Neurospora crassa OR74A: one gene and its partner. The protein of the gene in region 2 interacts with the protein of the main gene of each other region in a pairwise test. Links are inferred from orthologs where the notes say so. Each region holds a gene or a part of one and is shown on either strand. Other genes may lie near its edges.

Evidence for each region. The genes of interacting proteins can lie anywhere in the genome.
Region 1: the proteins of NCU05276 (region 2) and NCU02733 interact in a two-hybrid assay, tested with the Saccharomyces cerevisiae proteins (2 studies listed by BioGRID). The link is inferred for Neurospora crassa OR74A from reciprocal best matches to the Saccharomyces cerevisiae genes YIP5 and TVP23.

What each region holds. Positions count from the first base shown.
Region 1 is NC_026501.1:3,358,424-3,366,025, forward strand, and holds NCU02733 (golgi apparatus membrane protein tvp-23), read right to left. Parts: upstream 4,044-7,602; 5' UTR 3,883-4,043; coding exon 3,792-3,882; intron 3,591-3,791; coding exon 3,545-3,590; exon of another isoform or gene 3,363-3,544; coding exon 3,079-3,362; intron 2,943-3,078; coding exon 2,788-2,942; 3' UTR 2,491-2,787; downstream 1-2,490. Other genes in the region: NCU02732 (hypothetical protein), read left to right, coding at 427-808, 920-2,142; NCU02734 (citrate lyase beta subunit), read left to right, coding at 4,717-4,756, 4,826-5,488, 5,582-5,838; NCU02735 (hypothetical protein), read right to left, coding at 6,780-6,914, 6,977-7,405, 7,513-7,578. UniProt on the Saccharomyces cerevisiae protein: Golgi membrane protein involved in vesicular trafficking.
Region 2 is NC_026504.1:5,493,428-5,500,877, reverse strand, and holds NCU05276 (Yip1 domain family), read left to right. Parts: upstream 1-3,133; 5' UTR 3,134-3,397; coding exon 3,398-3,442; intron 3,443-3,539; coding exon 3,540-3,996; intron 3,997-4,092; coding exon 4,093-4,535; 3' UTR 4,536-4,765; downstream 4,766-7,450. Other genes in the region: NCU16890 (hypothetical protein), read left to right, coding at 1-347, 414-624, 686-1,099, 1,183-1,553; NCU05275 (ubiquitin-60S ribosomal protein L40 fusion protein), read left to right, coding at 1,910-1,910, 1,980-1,986, 2,078-2,258, 2,431-2,541, 2,608-2,694; NCU05277 (hypothetical protein), read right to left, coding at 5,020-5,127, 5,261-5,566. UniProt on the Saccharomyces cerevisiae protein: Possible role in vesicle-mediated transport. May be involved in proper membrane localization of Rab GTPases.

The DNA of each region.
Region 1 (7,602 bases), on a different chromosome or scaffold from region 2:
CATCTGTCTGCGGATGGGGGTATTGTGCGTCTAATCCATCCAATCTTCCATACGGATAGTTGCTCCTATCCCGAGTTGGTATTGGTGCTTACTCCCGAGCCTCGTTCGCTCTGTTACTCCACAGACCCTGGCCGTCTTACCTACACACGCTTCGCATTTCATCGTGCCCGGTTCCATTTGGGTTGTCCATTTTCTCACACCTTTGTTCATCTGGCACACTCTTAGCAGCTGGTCCCTTACCGGTGTCAGCACATCTGCTCTGGATTCGAACCGGCACCAACGAAAACGAAGCCGATTATAAGAGGAGATGCGTATATCTAGAACTACAAGGCATTTTGCTTGAGGAAGTGAGAATCTACACGACACATTTCGGAAGTCGACGGCCGGATACAGGGGGAGGCCTAGGAAAGCGGGAGTCGATTCATCATGCGAATAGCCACGCAAAGGAGCTGGCTGCTAGCCGGTCTGCCATTGGCAGGTTGCGCAGCCTCACTTAATTCTCATACGGACATCGTTATGTTCAGCGACAGTGACGGATTTACCCAGGGGACAAAAGAAATACCAGGCAAGCCGGCCGTAATCTGGGAGGCGACTACGTTCAGATGGAATATCACAAACACGAGCGGTACCACTGTCAACACCGTCAACCTTTACAGCAACACTACGATAGTCGAGCCTGCCTCGCTTCAAAGCCTTGCAAAAACCTCGCAGAAAATTGGGAGCTGGCCAGATCTAACCTTAGGTATGGCGCCTCAGGGCGATATCATCACCTTGCCAACATCTACGTCGTATCCCATCAACCTCACCGGTAAGTCAACAGGAAGTGCATCACAAATTGTCTAAAAGCCTAACCTCTCTTCGCCGTGGCGTGACGTGATGACTGGAACGTTCGTGCTAACTGAAGGCAACGAGCCAACAGTTGAGACAAATGCTACAGGAGGCTCGGTGACAATTGACAATATCTGGACTATCCTCAACCTCAACAATACCTCAGCCCAGCCAGCCCAGCCAGCCCCGCTGAAGCTGCTGTACTTTGATGTTGTCTGGAAGAACGGCGGCAAAACGGGCAGGAGCTACAGCCGGCTCTTCACAACAATCGGGAACATTGCGCCAGACCATACCATACTTGAGGGTTATGGTTTAAATCCTTTGCTCAACAACCCTGACCCGGTCTTTCCGGAAGAACATCCGATCAGGGACGACTCCGATGGGGGCGGCCAGTCAGCTGGAGTCGGAAAGCCAACCGAATCACCTTCTCCCACTCCAGGGGCAACCTTGGCCACCCCGACCAACGGCGGCGGCCTAGTCAGCAGCGGCACCGGAGAGCCTTCCAACCTCAAGAGCAAGAAAGGTATCTCCATTGGCGCCATCGTTGGAATCGCCATAGCCTGCGGCCTCCTCGGCCTCGCTCTCATCAGCGGCATCGTCTTTTTCTGCCTCCGGCGGCGCCACAAGCAAAACGCCCTTCGAGACGGCACCAGTCGCGGTGGGCCTTACGGGGGCTTCGCCAGCGGCGGCGGTCGGAACGGCGGTGACGAGCTCATAGCCGAGAAGGAAGCCAACGCGGGCGTCATCCACGACGTGACGAGCGCGCCTCACTCGCCTTACTCTGACAACCTCGTGCGAATGGGTGACGCCGGTGCCAACAGGAATAGCGGTAGTGTCGTTGTTCCTAACATTGATTCTGGCGTTCCCCCTCAGGTGGTTCTTCCCGGAGCAGATGGGAGACTAGAAGGAGATGGAGACAGCCCGGCTTCGAACGCCCCGTCCTACCACATGATGCAGCAGCAGCAGCAGCAGCAGCAGCAGACACCGCACGATCATCAGTCTGGAAGGTCTTTTACCATGTACTCTGATCATCAGTCCGGAGGGGGAGAAGGAGGAGGGTCGCCTACCACTCTGCACAGCGGCGGTGGCGGCGCACCATCGTTCACACATGGGGGAGCAGGCACTGATAGCAACCGGGGTAGTCTGATCAGCCAGCAGCAGCAACAGGGTAGGAGCTTGTCAACGCCGTATGCTCATTTGGTCGAGGAAGGCATGACAGAGGAGGAAATCAGGAGGTTGGAGGAGGAAGAGCGACAGCTTGATGTGGCCATTGAACAGCACGCGGGAGGGCAGAGGGGCTCCAGGCACCTATGACGAATGCTTTGGAAAGTGAAGATAACCGAGCAAAGTAGTTAAGGAAGAGGGTGATGATATGAGTATTTCCTTTTTCATTGTTGATCTTTGGGAAGTTACGTATGTCCGTATCAGTAGGGGCGATGCTACAATATCTGATGGTTATAAATCGAAAAATCTTTGATCAGCAACTCTATTTCCATTTTCTGTTTTATTCTGCGAACAGTTATGGAGCGATTCAGAGAATGTGAATGCATCGAGGAAACGGAGTGAACGTACCGAATGGTGGTCTCAGAGCCATGGCCTATGTCATGTCCGAAGGATCCGCATGAAACAAGAAAATCATGGACTACTAGTACTTGAGCCGGACACCATATAACGGACCCTGAAATTCACACATCTTGTCTTGCTCAGATACTATTTTTGCTGGCAATGAATCTAGAAGGTAACCATCGGCAATTTGTCGTGCAAAAGTTCCTTATACTGTCACCAATTTCGAGCCCGACCCATAATGCACATCATGAAAACATGAGAATCCTAAGATGGCCATCAAGTATCTTCGGGGCTGAATTCTCTATCGATATCTGACGAGAACAGTCCCTTCGGATACTAATCCAAAGCCACAACTTTTTCCCTGACCTCGGGGAATCTCGTCCTGCTTGCTCTCTACCTCGAGAAGAACCTGCCAACCATGTTGCTCGCAATGTTACCAGCGATGTTGCCCGAGCTGAACGCGGTTCCAGCAATGTTGGAAGCCTGGCTGAACTTGTCGCACCTGGAGAAGGCAAGCGAGTTGGTGATGGTAAGAACCAACGCAATAGCTATACAACACGCCCATTAACCTCCGATTAGCATATAATGCCTTTTTTGACAACCCAAAAACCACGCAGCACAACAAGCAAGCCAAGGGAACTGGCAAGCGCTAGTACGATGGATAGAGGGGAAAGGGGCACATACCAACAAGAGGCAACCAAATAAACTTCAAACTGAACAAGGCCACAATAGCCAGCACAACCCACAGCAGCGGCTGCGCATAGATTGCCAGCCAAAAGAAGCGGCTGTCGGTCGCGTTGATGATCTTGGTCCCCGGCTCGCTGCTTTCAAACACCCAGTGCGAGTCGCCCGAGTTAGGATCGACCTCGTTCCACCAACGCAGGCCCACGAGTCGGCGGCCAGCAATGTTCTTGAGGTAGTAAAAGTCGCCGGCGAGGAGAAGGATGGTTATGATGAAGATCATGACACTGCCGGTCGGTTGGGGGGGTGGTTAGCAATCTAATCCCTTGATTTCTTCTGATGGATGAAAGCTGTGGAAGGCTGGGAACACTCTCGGGTTCGCGTTCGCTTGCGACTGTATAGACGAGCAAGTGGGCAAGTCGAGCATCTGATATGGTGTGGTTTAAGGGGGCTGACGGGGTCGCCTTACAGGTTGTCGGTAAATAAGAGGCCAAAAAGGTAGACAAGGAGACTGGCTGTAGTTCGCGATCGGGTTTTAGCAAGCGTGTCTTGGTAGCAGGTATCGGGTGCTCCATCCTCCCCCGTCTTCTCTTCGTGACCTTCTACCCATCATCCTGCCGGAATGCATTCTCCTCCCCATCATGGCCGTAATGGGCTACATCCAATCCTCGAGACACTGACAAAGGGAGCTAGGAAGAGGGACTGCGAGCACCTACATGATCGAAAAGCGAGGAATGTCAGGAGCGTAATAGGATGCGAGCTCAAGCGCCAGCTCAAAGAGCCGGGCGTCGGTGTTGCTTCCATCATCAGGATCAGAAGGTGACCTGTTACCGGGTTCGAAGGTACTTTGTCACAATGGTGTCGTCGTGAAGTTGGAGAGAGGTGAAGCCAAGCCGTTTGCACGATGCGCAACTGCGCAGGTCAGAACACCTAAGCTCCGCGCTGACAGACCGTCTCGAACACAAGCTAGGGTGTATTAACGGCTGAATATCCGGTGGGGAGGACTTCAAGGTATCGAAATACCCAGTTTTTGCAGGTAATTGGCAGGACCTGGGAGGTACCTTTTCCCCACACAACTCAGCATTGCTGTTAATGCACTATCGTTACCTACAACCACGTTTCCCCTTGGGCATGAACACCATGCTGGTCTTCCGTACAAAGCCTCCCTACGAACTGAAATAACCAGGCTTTACTTCGATATGGAACTCAATGTCTTTTTGCGTCAAAGCAATCCCCGTGCTTCCCGGTTTCTTATCCTATTGTTGCTTAAAAATGAGGTTCTCCGGGGACAAAGTTACCATGCATATTGAGCCAGAGAACGGAGGTCGGAGGACAGTAAAATCTAGTGGACATAGCGCCCCAGCCGACAGCGGCCCGAAGCTACAGCTCCGCGCTGGTGCTACGTCACATGCCATTCGATTCCCCATTGAGCTCAGCAACATCCTTCTGTTGACTTTCTCCCCTCTTCCCGATTTACAGACAGTAGTCACTGAGTGGTTTAGGATGCTCTCGGGCCTTTGTTAGCAGTGTATGCAGTGGATGAGTGGCTGGGTCGGTCATACTTGTGAGCCCAGATAGTTTCCATCCCGTCAACATCCAGACATACCGCAGAGCCCACCTGTTGACTTGAAACTGAACATCATGGCTACCTCTTCCGTCCTCCGTCGGGCGCTCCTATATGGTGCGGTCTATCCAAGATATAACCCTCCTGTCATATGGCTGCAATAGTTGCTAACTCAGCATGACCCAGTTCCTGCGTCTTCTCAGAAGTTCATGACCAAGTCACTCTCCTTGGCTAGTGATAATATCACCTATGACCTTGAGGACTCGGTGACTCCAGCAAACAAGCAGACCGCTCGCACACAATTGCGCGACCACCTGTCCTCACTTTCGGACAAGCCGGCCTCCATTGGAGAGCTTGCTGTACGCATCAATGCTGTCTCGACGCCCTATGCGCTTGATGATCTGACCACTCTCGCAAGCGCCCCAAACCTTGACGCCATTGTCATCCCAAAGGTCAACAGTGCTAGTGATCTGTCCTTCGTTACAGATGTCATTCGCCATGCTGCACCACAGCGACATTCTTCTAACCCCACGGCAAGCCCTCTCAAGCTACTTGCCTTGATTGAATCGGCCCGAGCAGTCATGGATTTGCGCTCGATATGTGCTGCGTCACCGTATCTGAGTGGTCTGATCTTTGCTGCTGAGGATTTTGCGTTGGACCTGTCTATTACGCGAACGCCAGGTTTGGCCGAGTTTTTGTACGCCAGAAGTGCTATTGTAACTGCTGCCAGAGCATTCGATCTCCCTAGCTCCATTGACCTTGTTTGTACCTCATACAAGGGTCCAGAGGGGGTAAAGCAGCTAGAGGAGGAGTGTCAAAACGGCAAGGAGATGGGCTTCAACGGAAAGCGTGAGTTACCTATTCCTGAATTTCCATTCCTTGTACCGACGGTGCCTTTCTTATGGGAACTGTGCTCTTCACTAATACTTGGCATTCAAACAGAGTGTATCCACCCCAGTCAGGTCGAAGTGACTCAGCGAATGTTTGCTCCAGCAGAGGCCGAGGTTGAGTGGTACGTTCGTATCCTCGTTGCCGATGCTCAGGCCTCTGCAGCTGGTCGAGGTGCTTGGACCTTGGACGGAAAGATGATTGATGCTCCTGTGGTTGGAAAGGCTCGGGCGGTAGTCGCCAAAGCCGCAAAATGTGGAATGGATATCGAAAACATTAAAGCAAAGTGGAAAGATCAAAAGCCGGAGTGATGGCTTCTCTGCTGGATCAGGTCACATCTCAGAACTCGCGAGGATCTTCCCACAGTCTCGGTAACCGGGTATCTTGACCCCCTATGCCCTGCCCGTAATGCTCTAGGTCGAAATATTCGGGATCCTGTACCTGGATATGTGCTGTGTCTGTTGGAAGTTGATGCTGATTGTACCACGCAGTGTCCCGAAGAAATGTATCATTGCCTTCGGGATATAAACCATGGCCGAGCTGCTGCCGCCCTATACCTTCAGTCAGGTCTGGACCATGGGGCTGTGATCCATCCATTTCTTCGTTGTTGGTGGAACTCTGCAGAGCTTCTTGCTCGATTCTGCGGATGTAATCTTCCATACTTTCACGAGGCGGATCCTGCGTATGAGCATACAAAAGCTGAGCTGGAGGACATGAAATAGACCTTGAAATTTGATCAACTGCAGGGCGCAAAGAGGTTGGTTGGTGAGAAGGCATTACAGCCCGAACTCTTTCAGGCGGAACGAGTTTCGTATAGCGACCGGATGCTTGCTTAGGAGAAGGCTCCTGATATGTTTGCCAGCCTTCTTGGGCAAACAAGTTACGCGCTGCTACAAACGGCTGAGAAAAGAGTCTATCCCTGGCATTAGAGGTAACCCAGGCTTGTGGTTGAGGTTGGAACTGTGGCTGCGGTGGTACATCTAGTAGCGTTGTTGCTGTTGTATTGGATGAGGGCTGCTCATATACAGTTCTCTTGTCCATAGTTGGCAATGCTTCTGCAGGCAGCATGGAGACACGTTGTTTGAGGTTACTGTTTTCGTCTGCTGTCATGACTGCGGAATCTTGATACTGGGGTATAGAATTTTTTGGGTATTGGCGATTTTGATTCCGATCTGCATCAAACGATGTCTGGACTTGAGCATCCTGGTACACTATCGATTTCCGTGGATGACGCTTTGCTCTCGAAGCTGGTCTAATCTTGAAATCCTCCGAAACCACATGTGGGCCCTTTATTTCCCGCTCCTGCAGGACAAGCTTCCGAGCAGAACTTTGAATGCTCTTCCGGGGTTTCTCTGAAATGGAAACGTTGGACACTGGCGCCGGATCCCTGTCACTTGTTGACCATGTGAAATATGTAGTTGATCTGCTACTCGGACGATTTGGTAGGACAAGTATTGAATCATCACCACGCGAAGAGAAAAGAGAGTCTGGCCGGAGAGAAGCAGGCGAAGGCTGTCTGGTAGAGCCAGTGCTTCTACTTGGAAGAAGCGAAGGGCTGGGTGAATCATGTGTTCGTTGCTGGCGGATATCTGAAGCCGGATGTCTAGCAGTAGCAGTGTCGTATCGTTGTTCTCGATGAGGTCGGTAGTGTATTTTCTCAGCTTCCGCTTTTTCACCGTCAGCTCTCCCCGTAAAGAATGCAGACAGCTCTTTCATTTCCTTAGCTTCCGCCTGCTGTCTTCGGCTTCTTCGTCCTGGCTCCACCGCTCTTGATCTATGATCAGGGCGTCTTGATATAGTTTCGACCTCCCTGGCTTTGGAGCTCTGGCGACGGGCAGTACCGTGGTCGGTTCGTTGGGCATGCTCGTTCATTCGTTGCTGTAATTTGAACTACATTAGCAAATTGCTATTAATGACGTTAGTGACAGTTACCCACCGCATGTTGATATTTACTTCGGGTATGTCTTTTAACATCCTCCAAAGACCCGTGACTGTCCTCCCGGCGATGTTCTGTAGTCTGGGTCCGTCTCTTGTGACGATCTACCTCTGGCCTGTATTCGTATTTGTCAAGCCTC
Region 2 (7,450 bases):
GGGCATCATCACTCCAGGCGAAAGGAAAGGGGATTGATCACGATGGAACGGGGTCGCAATATGGTGGCGGTGGTGGTGGTGCGCTCTCTCAGTCGGGTTCCGATAGCGAGATGGTCATGTACAGCTCGCAGGCGGAAACGACGGATACGTCGGCTGATGAGAGTGTGAAGAGCCAGAGGAGGAGGTCAAGCAGGGTGAAGGATTGGGAGAGCGAGCTGTGGGATCTGCCTGGCCCGATGGAAGTGCTGGCGCTGATTTATATGGGGTGTCTGCTCAAGCAGGAGCCGGTGAGGGTAGGGGATATTTATCGGTGGGCGAAGAACAACCAGTTGCCGTTTCTTGGTGCGGTAAGTTGGTGTGTAGTTTTGTACTCACAAGAAGGTTCGCTTACTGACATTCTTCTTGCTACTCAGCTTGAACTGGTGCCGAACGAACTACGAGAACGTTTACCTGGCTGGGCTCAGCGCACGCTATTAACACGATGGGCAAAGTTTGACGGAAGCGAGCTTCACAAGTCGTTGTTGACCTTGACCCTAGGTTTTAAGAAGAACTATGGCATGGTATCACCACCACTCCCAGCACCGTCACTCCTCATCTTATACCTCAAAGATCTGGCTCTACCACGTAAGTTCTGCCGCCCCTCTTCCTCTAAAGTCACACACTCTAATCATCATCATCATACCAGCCGAGGTACACCTCCACGCCCGACAAATTTGCCTCATGCTCAACCTCTCCTGGACCTTCCCAACGCGCCAAAACATTAAAGACGACGCGTCTTCCTTCACCGGCAAGACCTCTCGCTACACCCTCCTCGACATCCCAGACGTGCTACTAGTCGCCTCTCTAGTGCTAGCAACCAAGTACATGTACCCCATGGACGGCGTCAAGCGGTATCCACGAGACAACAACGACCCATTAACGTTGAAGATGGACTGGGATGCTTGGGAGGCTGAGTTCGCAGATCCGCCCGAGAAGCCGCTGAGGAGGCTCGACTTTGCGACCATGGATGCGGAGAAGGTTTGGACTTTGAGTAAGGAGCAGATGGTGGAGTATTTGGATTGGTATCAGGAGACGCAGCTGAAATCATGGAGCGCTGCTGGTATGTCTTTCTCCTTCTCCTCCTTTCCCTCTCAGGGTGTCCGTCAGAATGCAAACGATTTACTGACAGACACTTGAAAACAGACGAAACCGAAATCGAACGTCTCTTCCCTCTCGAGAACGTCCTGCGATTACCGGAACCCGGCAGCAAAGACATGACCGATGAGCAGCTCATTGCTCGGATGCATCGAGTGCAAAAGTCGATGACGCTGGTTGAACCGAGGCCTGAGACTAATGATGGGAAGAATATCAAGAGGCTGGGTGCACTTCATCAGCGGTTTAGGTCGGTTGAGCAACTTGGAGAATCTGGACCTGCGAGAAGGTTCCATGAGAAAGCAGCGGAGATCTCGGGGCTGTCACTGAAGGCTTTGGTGAAGGCGGTTTATAGTCTGGAGGAACTGTTGTATGGTTGGGAGAAGAGGGAGAAGAGGAAGATGAGGTTGGGGGAGGTATGACTTGCTTTGAATACTTGCCTGAGCTGTTTCTCGGGATCAAACCAGTATGAGACCGATACTGTGACAGAAGATATCCATATTGAGCATTAGAAGAAGAGCACAAATCGGGTGCGGTTGAGGAAACTACTTAGCAATCGTTGGTGGAGGCGACCTTCTGGTGTTGAAGATGGAGGTACAGTGCAGATATGAAGCTGATGAACACTGTGACATGTGCACGCACCACTTTGCCCAGAGCGGCCGTTCCCATAACCCCACCATCATAGCTTCGTCCTGTTGCTGTTCCCCGACATCATCACATCACTCCCTCCTTCACCACTGCACCTCCAACTGACCACACCTAGGAATAACCGGTCAAGAGTAAGTTAATTACACTGCTTTAGACCAAATCCTCAATTCGTCGAGATGCTAATCTGACCTGAACCGCAGTGCAAATGTGAGTTTTCACGACGTTCCGCAGCACGAAGCAATCAAGCGGAGTTGAGTCAGGTCACTAACAAACGGGACGTTGTACCCCTGGTGTATAGCTTCGTCAAGACCCTCACGGGCAAGACCATCACGCTCGAGGTTGAGTCCTCCGACACGATTGACAATGTCAAGCAGAAGATTCAGGACAAGGAGGGTATCCCGCCCGACCAGCAGCGCCTGATTTTTGCTGGCAAGCAGCTCGAGGATGGCCGCACCCTCTCCGACTACAACATCCAGAAGGTCAGTGGACTGGTGGCCCCACAGCGCGCTTATGACGTAGATGTTATAGGGGTTGGGAATGGGAGGACAACTGCTGTGGTCAACTTCCATTTTTGCGATGGCCATGGGAACAGAAATGGGATTCAATTGATTGGTGTCATGGTCGACTTGCTAACATGGATTTCTGCTATAGGAGTCAACCCTCCACTTGGTCCTCCGTCTGCGCGGTGGTATCATCGAGCCCTCGCTCAAGGCGCTTGCCTCCAAGTTCAACTGCGACAAGATGATTTGCCGCAAGTGCTACGTACGTATACTCTATATCATCTTTTCGCCTTCTCAAATGTTGAACCAAGGTCTAACTTGTTTCTAGGCTCGTCTGCCTCCCCGTGCCACCAACTGCCGTAAGCGCAAGTGCGGACACACCAACCAGCTCCGCCCCAAGAAGAAGCTCAAATAGACAGCTCAGTGTTACGTACCAGCATCAGGGTTTGGCGCATTTGGGCTTTTTGGGGGCAAACGGGTATGGTTATGGCAACGGCATAAGGACAACAGGACAGGGAAACACGGGACCTGGGAATGGATGGCTACGGCTGAAAACGTCAAGTCGAGGACTTCTACGTAGCTCATGAATAAACTCGGACATTGCCCGTGGGGATACACAAAAGGGCATTGAAGCTCTCCTACCAAAAGCAGTGATCTTGTAGAATAATTTGAGCTTGATTATGAATGTCGCTCGAAACAGCTCAACTACCTTGATGGCCACTTTGGACCCACGTGACATATTGCGGGGAGTTACTGCAGGGACCGGGAATCCGTTAAGGGGGGGTGCACTGCTGCGGTTTCAGGACCCCAACAGGGGGCGTGCACGCAAGTGTACAGCGGTACGTACCTCTACCTACCTACCTCTACCCTTTGGTGTACGCGGCTCACGTTGAAACAGCTGTCCACCACCAGCTTCCGGAGGGACCAGACCACCTAAGTAGCTTTGGAGGAGCTTACCTATCGAGAGACCGACTTACACTAAGCATAAACTAATCATACCATTTGACTCCAAGGCGATTCACAGCTATCGGCGTGTTCCCAAGCTCCAACCAAATCACCATCGAAAGACTTGTCATCACAGCTCACATCCGACCAACAGACAGCAAACAACCGCCACCATGTCCAGATCAGGCTACGATGCAGTCGTAGACGTCGACGACGAGGTTAGTTCGCCCTCTCCTCCCCTCCCATCCGCTCCCATGGTAGTCATTGATCTTTACATACCCAACTAACCACCCTTTTTTCTCCTTCTCTCTCCAGGGCGACCTAGGCCACACCGACCTCCAAGAAGATCTCGAATTCCACCAATCCAACTTTTCCGAATCCTCCCCCCTCGGGCGCAACGGCACCAAATCCACCCAACACACCAACACCACTTCCACTTCCTCCCTCGGCGGCGGGTTACTTCCCGCTCCCGTAACCGCCGCCCGCACCTCCTCCAACTCGGGAGGAGGAAGCAGCAAGCGCTTCCTCTGGACGCTCTCCTTTTACGCGCAGTTCTTTGACGTGGACACGTCCAGCGTGCTGCAGCGGTGTTGGGCGGCCCTGTACCCGCGAGCCAACTTTTTGGATGTGTTGGAGGGAAATCCGGACCTGTACGGGCCGTTTTGGATCGCGACGACGGTGGTGCTGATTTTGTTCTTGGGCGGGACGATTAGTGATTATTTGGCGCAGACGGGGAAGGAGGCGTTTGCGTATGATTTTCGGTTGTTGAGCGGTAAGTTTTTTGTTTTTTCTTTTTCCCTTTGGGTGAATGGGTGATTGATTTTAGTAAAATTGGGGGCTGATATGTGATCAAAAAAAACAACAACAGGCGCCGCTGGTCTCATCTACGGCTACACCTTTGTCCTGCCGGTCGCTTTGTACCTTGCCCTGCGATACTTTGGTTCGGAATCCGCCAACCTGCTCGAGTGCTGGGCTTTGTACGGTTACTCCAACCTCATCTGGATCCCTGTGGCGCTGATCAGCTGGTCGCCGATTACCATCCTCAACTGGGTGTTTGTGGGCGTGGGGTTCGGCGTGTCGGTGGCCTTTTTGCTCAGGAACCTGTATCCGGTGCTCAGCGCGACGGATCGCCAGACGAGCAAGGTGCTGCTGTTTGTCGTGGTGGCGCTGCACTTTGGTTTGGCCCTGGCCATCAAGGTGCTCTTCTTTGCGCATGGAAGCCCGGCGTTGAAGGATGGTCCGAAGGGAGCTGCCCCGGGTGGTGGGGATGCGAAGCCTGCTGATCCGGCTACGATGATGATGATGTTCTAGGGGCAGGAGGTTAGGATATGAAGGAGATAGGCTTAATAGGAAGAGAGGTACGTTTGGAGCTGTGTGGCCTTGTATCTGATATTTGATGTTTTACTATCTTCATCCGTCAACAAAAGGTTATGGGGGAGGCGTTTGCCGCGATTGGTTTCTGGGATTGATAAGTTCAAGTTCAATCGGATTTTCAATTCAACCTATGACTTCTGCTGAATTGAATTGCGCTGGCAGTTTATTTCACCCATTTGCTGCCCTTTCTTTGGTACGCTGTCCTCCTCTTTCTATCCCGGGTATAACAGGTACACTACAATACGTTCCATCCATCCAGTTCCCAGGTGGTAGAGGTAGACATAAGAAACGCCTCCTCTTAACTACTCCCCTTCTTTTTTCCGTTTTCCTGACCATGCCCTTATGCGTACCCATCATCCTTTTTTATCCCATCCCTCGTGCCGCCCCACCACCCCTCGTGCCGGGGAGGGAGGGACCCCTTTCATTGTCCATACTCGCTATCGATACTTTGAACGATCTGACCTGCCCATAGGGTAATCAAGCCAAACCGCTTGCCACTTCCCCATGCCGCTGCTCGTCTCGAAATCATCTCAAGTCTTCCTAATACTACCACCCACAACAACCCCCCACATTGAAAAAAAGAATCAGTGCCCCATCCTTATTGATGAACCAAGTAGGAACAGCCCTTGTTGTCTGGTGCTGTTCATGGGACTACTACTCACGGACTTGCTGTTGCTCTTGCTCTTGCTGCTGTCTGAAGACGAAGACGGTGACGAAGAAGAAGAAGATCCAAAAGTGGAGTGGAATTTGTCCTTGAGGAGACTGGTTCGGCTGGAGAAACTGGATGTTGAGGTGGTGGATTCGGCGTAGTGGTGGTTCTTCTTCTTGGGTGAGGACTTTGAGGAAGACTGGTGGGAAGAGGCGAGAGGTGGAGATTGTTCCAGGGCGCGAGTGCCTTGGACGATTTGGAGGGCGTGAGAGCGGGAGGTGGGGTGGGAGGGGAAGTTAAAGTTTGTTGAGGCGGACATGATTTTGTTTTTTGGTGTCTGTTGGTCTTTGGGTGGTGGTGGTGGTGATGGTTGGTCGAAGAGTCTTGATGAGGATGTCTTTAGATGGTGTTGGTGGTGTTCAAGTTGTCCGTGTAAGTGAAGCTTCAAGTTGGTTGGTTGGTGGTGTGGTGTGGTTCTTGTGTTCTCGAGGAAGGTACCTAGGTAGGTAGGTAGTACTTGAGATCTGAACGAAGTCTGAAGCTGTTGATGTTGATGATGAACAAAAACACAACATCCTGAAAAGCGAGGCCATCAACTCCTCTTATACATCTCTGATAACTCTGCTTTCTTCCTCCTCCTCCTCCTCCTCCTCCTCCTCCTCCTCATCTCCCCTTACCCATCTGAACCACAACAATAGGTACCTACACTAATTTCGGTGAGGTGAGAAGGGTAAGGCCGATTTCGTCGAACAAAGCAAAGCCACTCCGCCTTTCTCCCCCATCTACCATCGGTATCAACGTATCTCAGTATCCATCCATCCCTTGATGTAAGTGCTTACCAGGTGTGCGTATACACATACGTGTACTACCTCCTACCCTCATCTCCACAGTAACCAAAGAAGAAGAAAAATCAAGGGCATTAGGCTACGCATTCCTTGTCCCTACAACCACGACAACAACAGATGGAATAGTAAGAACCCACCCATGCTCTTGCATATGTAAACCACGTGGGAAACCCTGTCAAACAACTCAGCCCAATTACTACTACTACCAAAAACAATGAAAAGTGAAGCAAAGCAAAGGCCATCATGCCTTAGTAATGAGTCACAGCACCGAAACCAAATTTTTTCTAGTCGAGTATTTGTCAATGGCTAGGTACCTATGCATATTGAAAATGACAGCCAAATGCTCAGCGTAACTCAATAACGTCTACCAAGTATACTATCAAAGTAAGGCTAACTAGGTAGTCTAGTCGTGTGTGGCTGCGCCATCCATTATAATTCACTATGATTCATCATGTGCATGTGCAATTGGGAACCTTTTTCTAGGGGGGGGAAAGTTACATTTTTTTTCGAAACGCCACCCAAGGAGAAAAAAAAAAAAAATATATATATATATATATGTGTCGTTACACAAAGGCACAAAAAGTAGCCGCGTGTGTACGCAGTAGGTAAGTTTGGGAAAAGAAAGACTTGGTCGGCAGTGGATTGCCGAACGAAAAAGCTTACCTACCTCTAGCCGTGCTGACAGCGGCAGGTAGGTACGAAGACTACCTAGCAGGCTACGTTGATGGATTACGTTTGTTTACGCAGTAATAGTTGTCAGTTAAGTTAAGCAACGTAAGTAAGTAGGCTACCAGAATTTTCGGGTTGTATTGGGAAGCACTGCCGTCGTCATACCGCTTTTTGTTTTGTCGTTTCGCTTTGGGGATGTTGGATCGGGGAGTTTTGGTGTTGTTTGGGTCGTTCGACGTACGCGGCCAACCGTGATAAGCAGCGGGGCGGGGATATACATACACAAGGGTCGAAAAGCTTAGTCTAGTTACCCGTCCATTGGAAATCTTATTAATACGTACGTACGTTGGTCACAAAGCTCGGGGTGAAGGTCCACGCATGATGGTGATGATGGTGATGTACGTAGGGTAGTTCAGCCTTAGACTTCACATGTTTATCATTTCAGGGCTGACGTACGTTGGGTGTGGAAGGGATGGATGATGGTTCTAGGAATACACCAGTAGTGTAAGCAGCTTTGGAGGTTACGAATCCCGGCGTCCATAAGAGGGATGAGACTATTCCCAACTGGGATTCAACAGAGAGTCTTCTAACCAATGGGCTCTCTTACCGTTGTGACACACACACACACACCGAAAGCAAAAAAGTTCTTTTCGGGCTACGTATCCGCTGTCAGTTTCTACACTACCTGT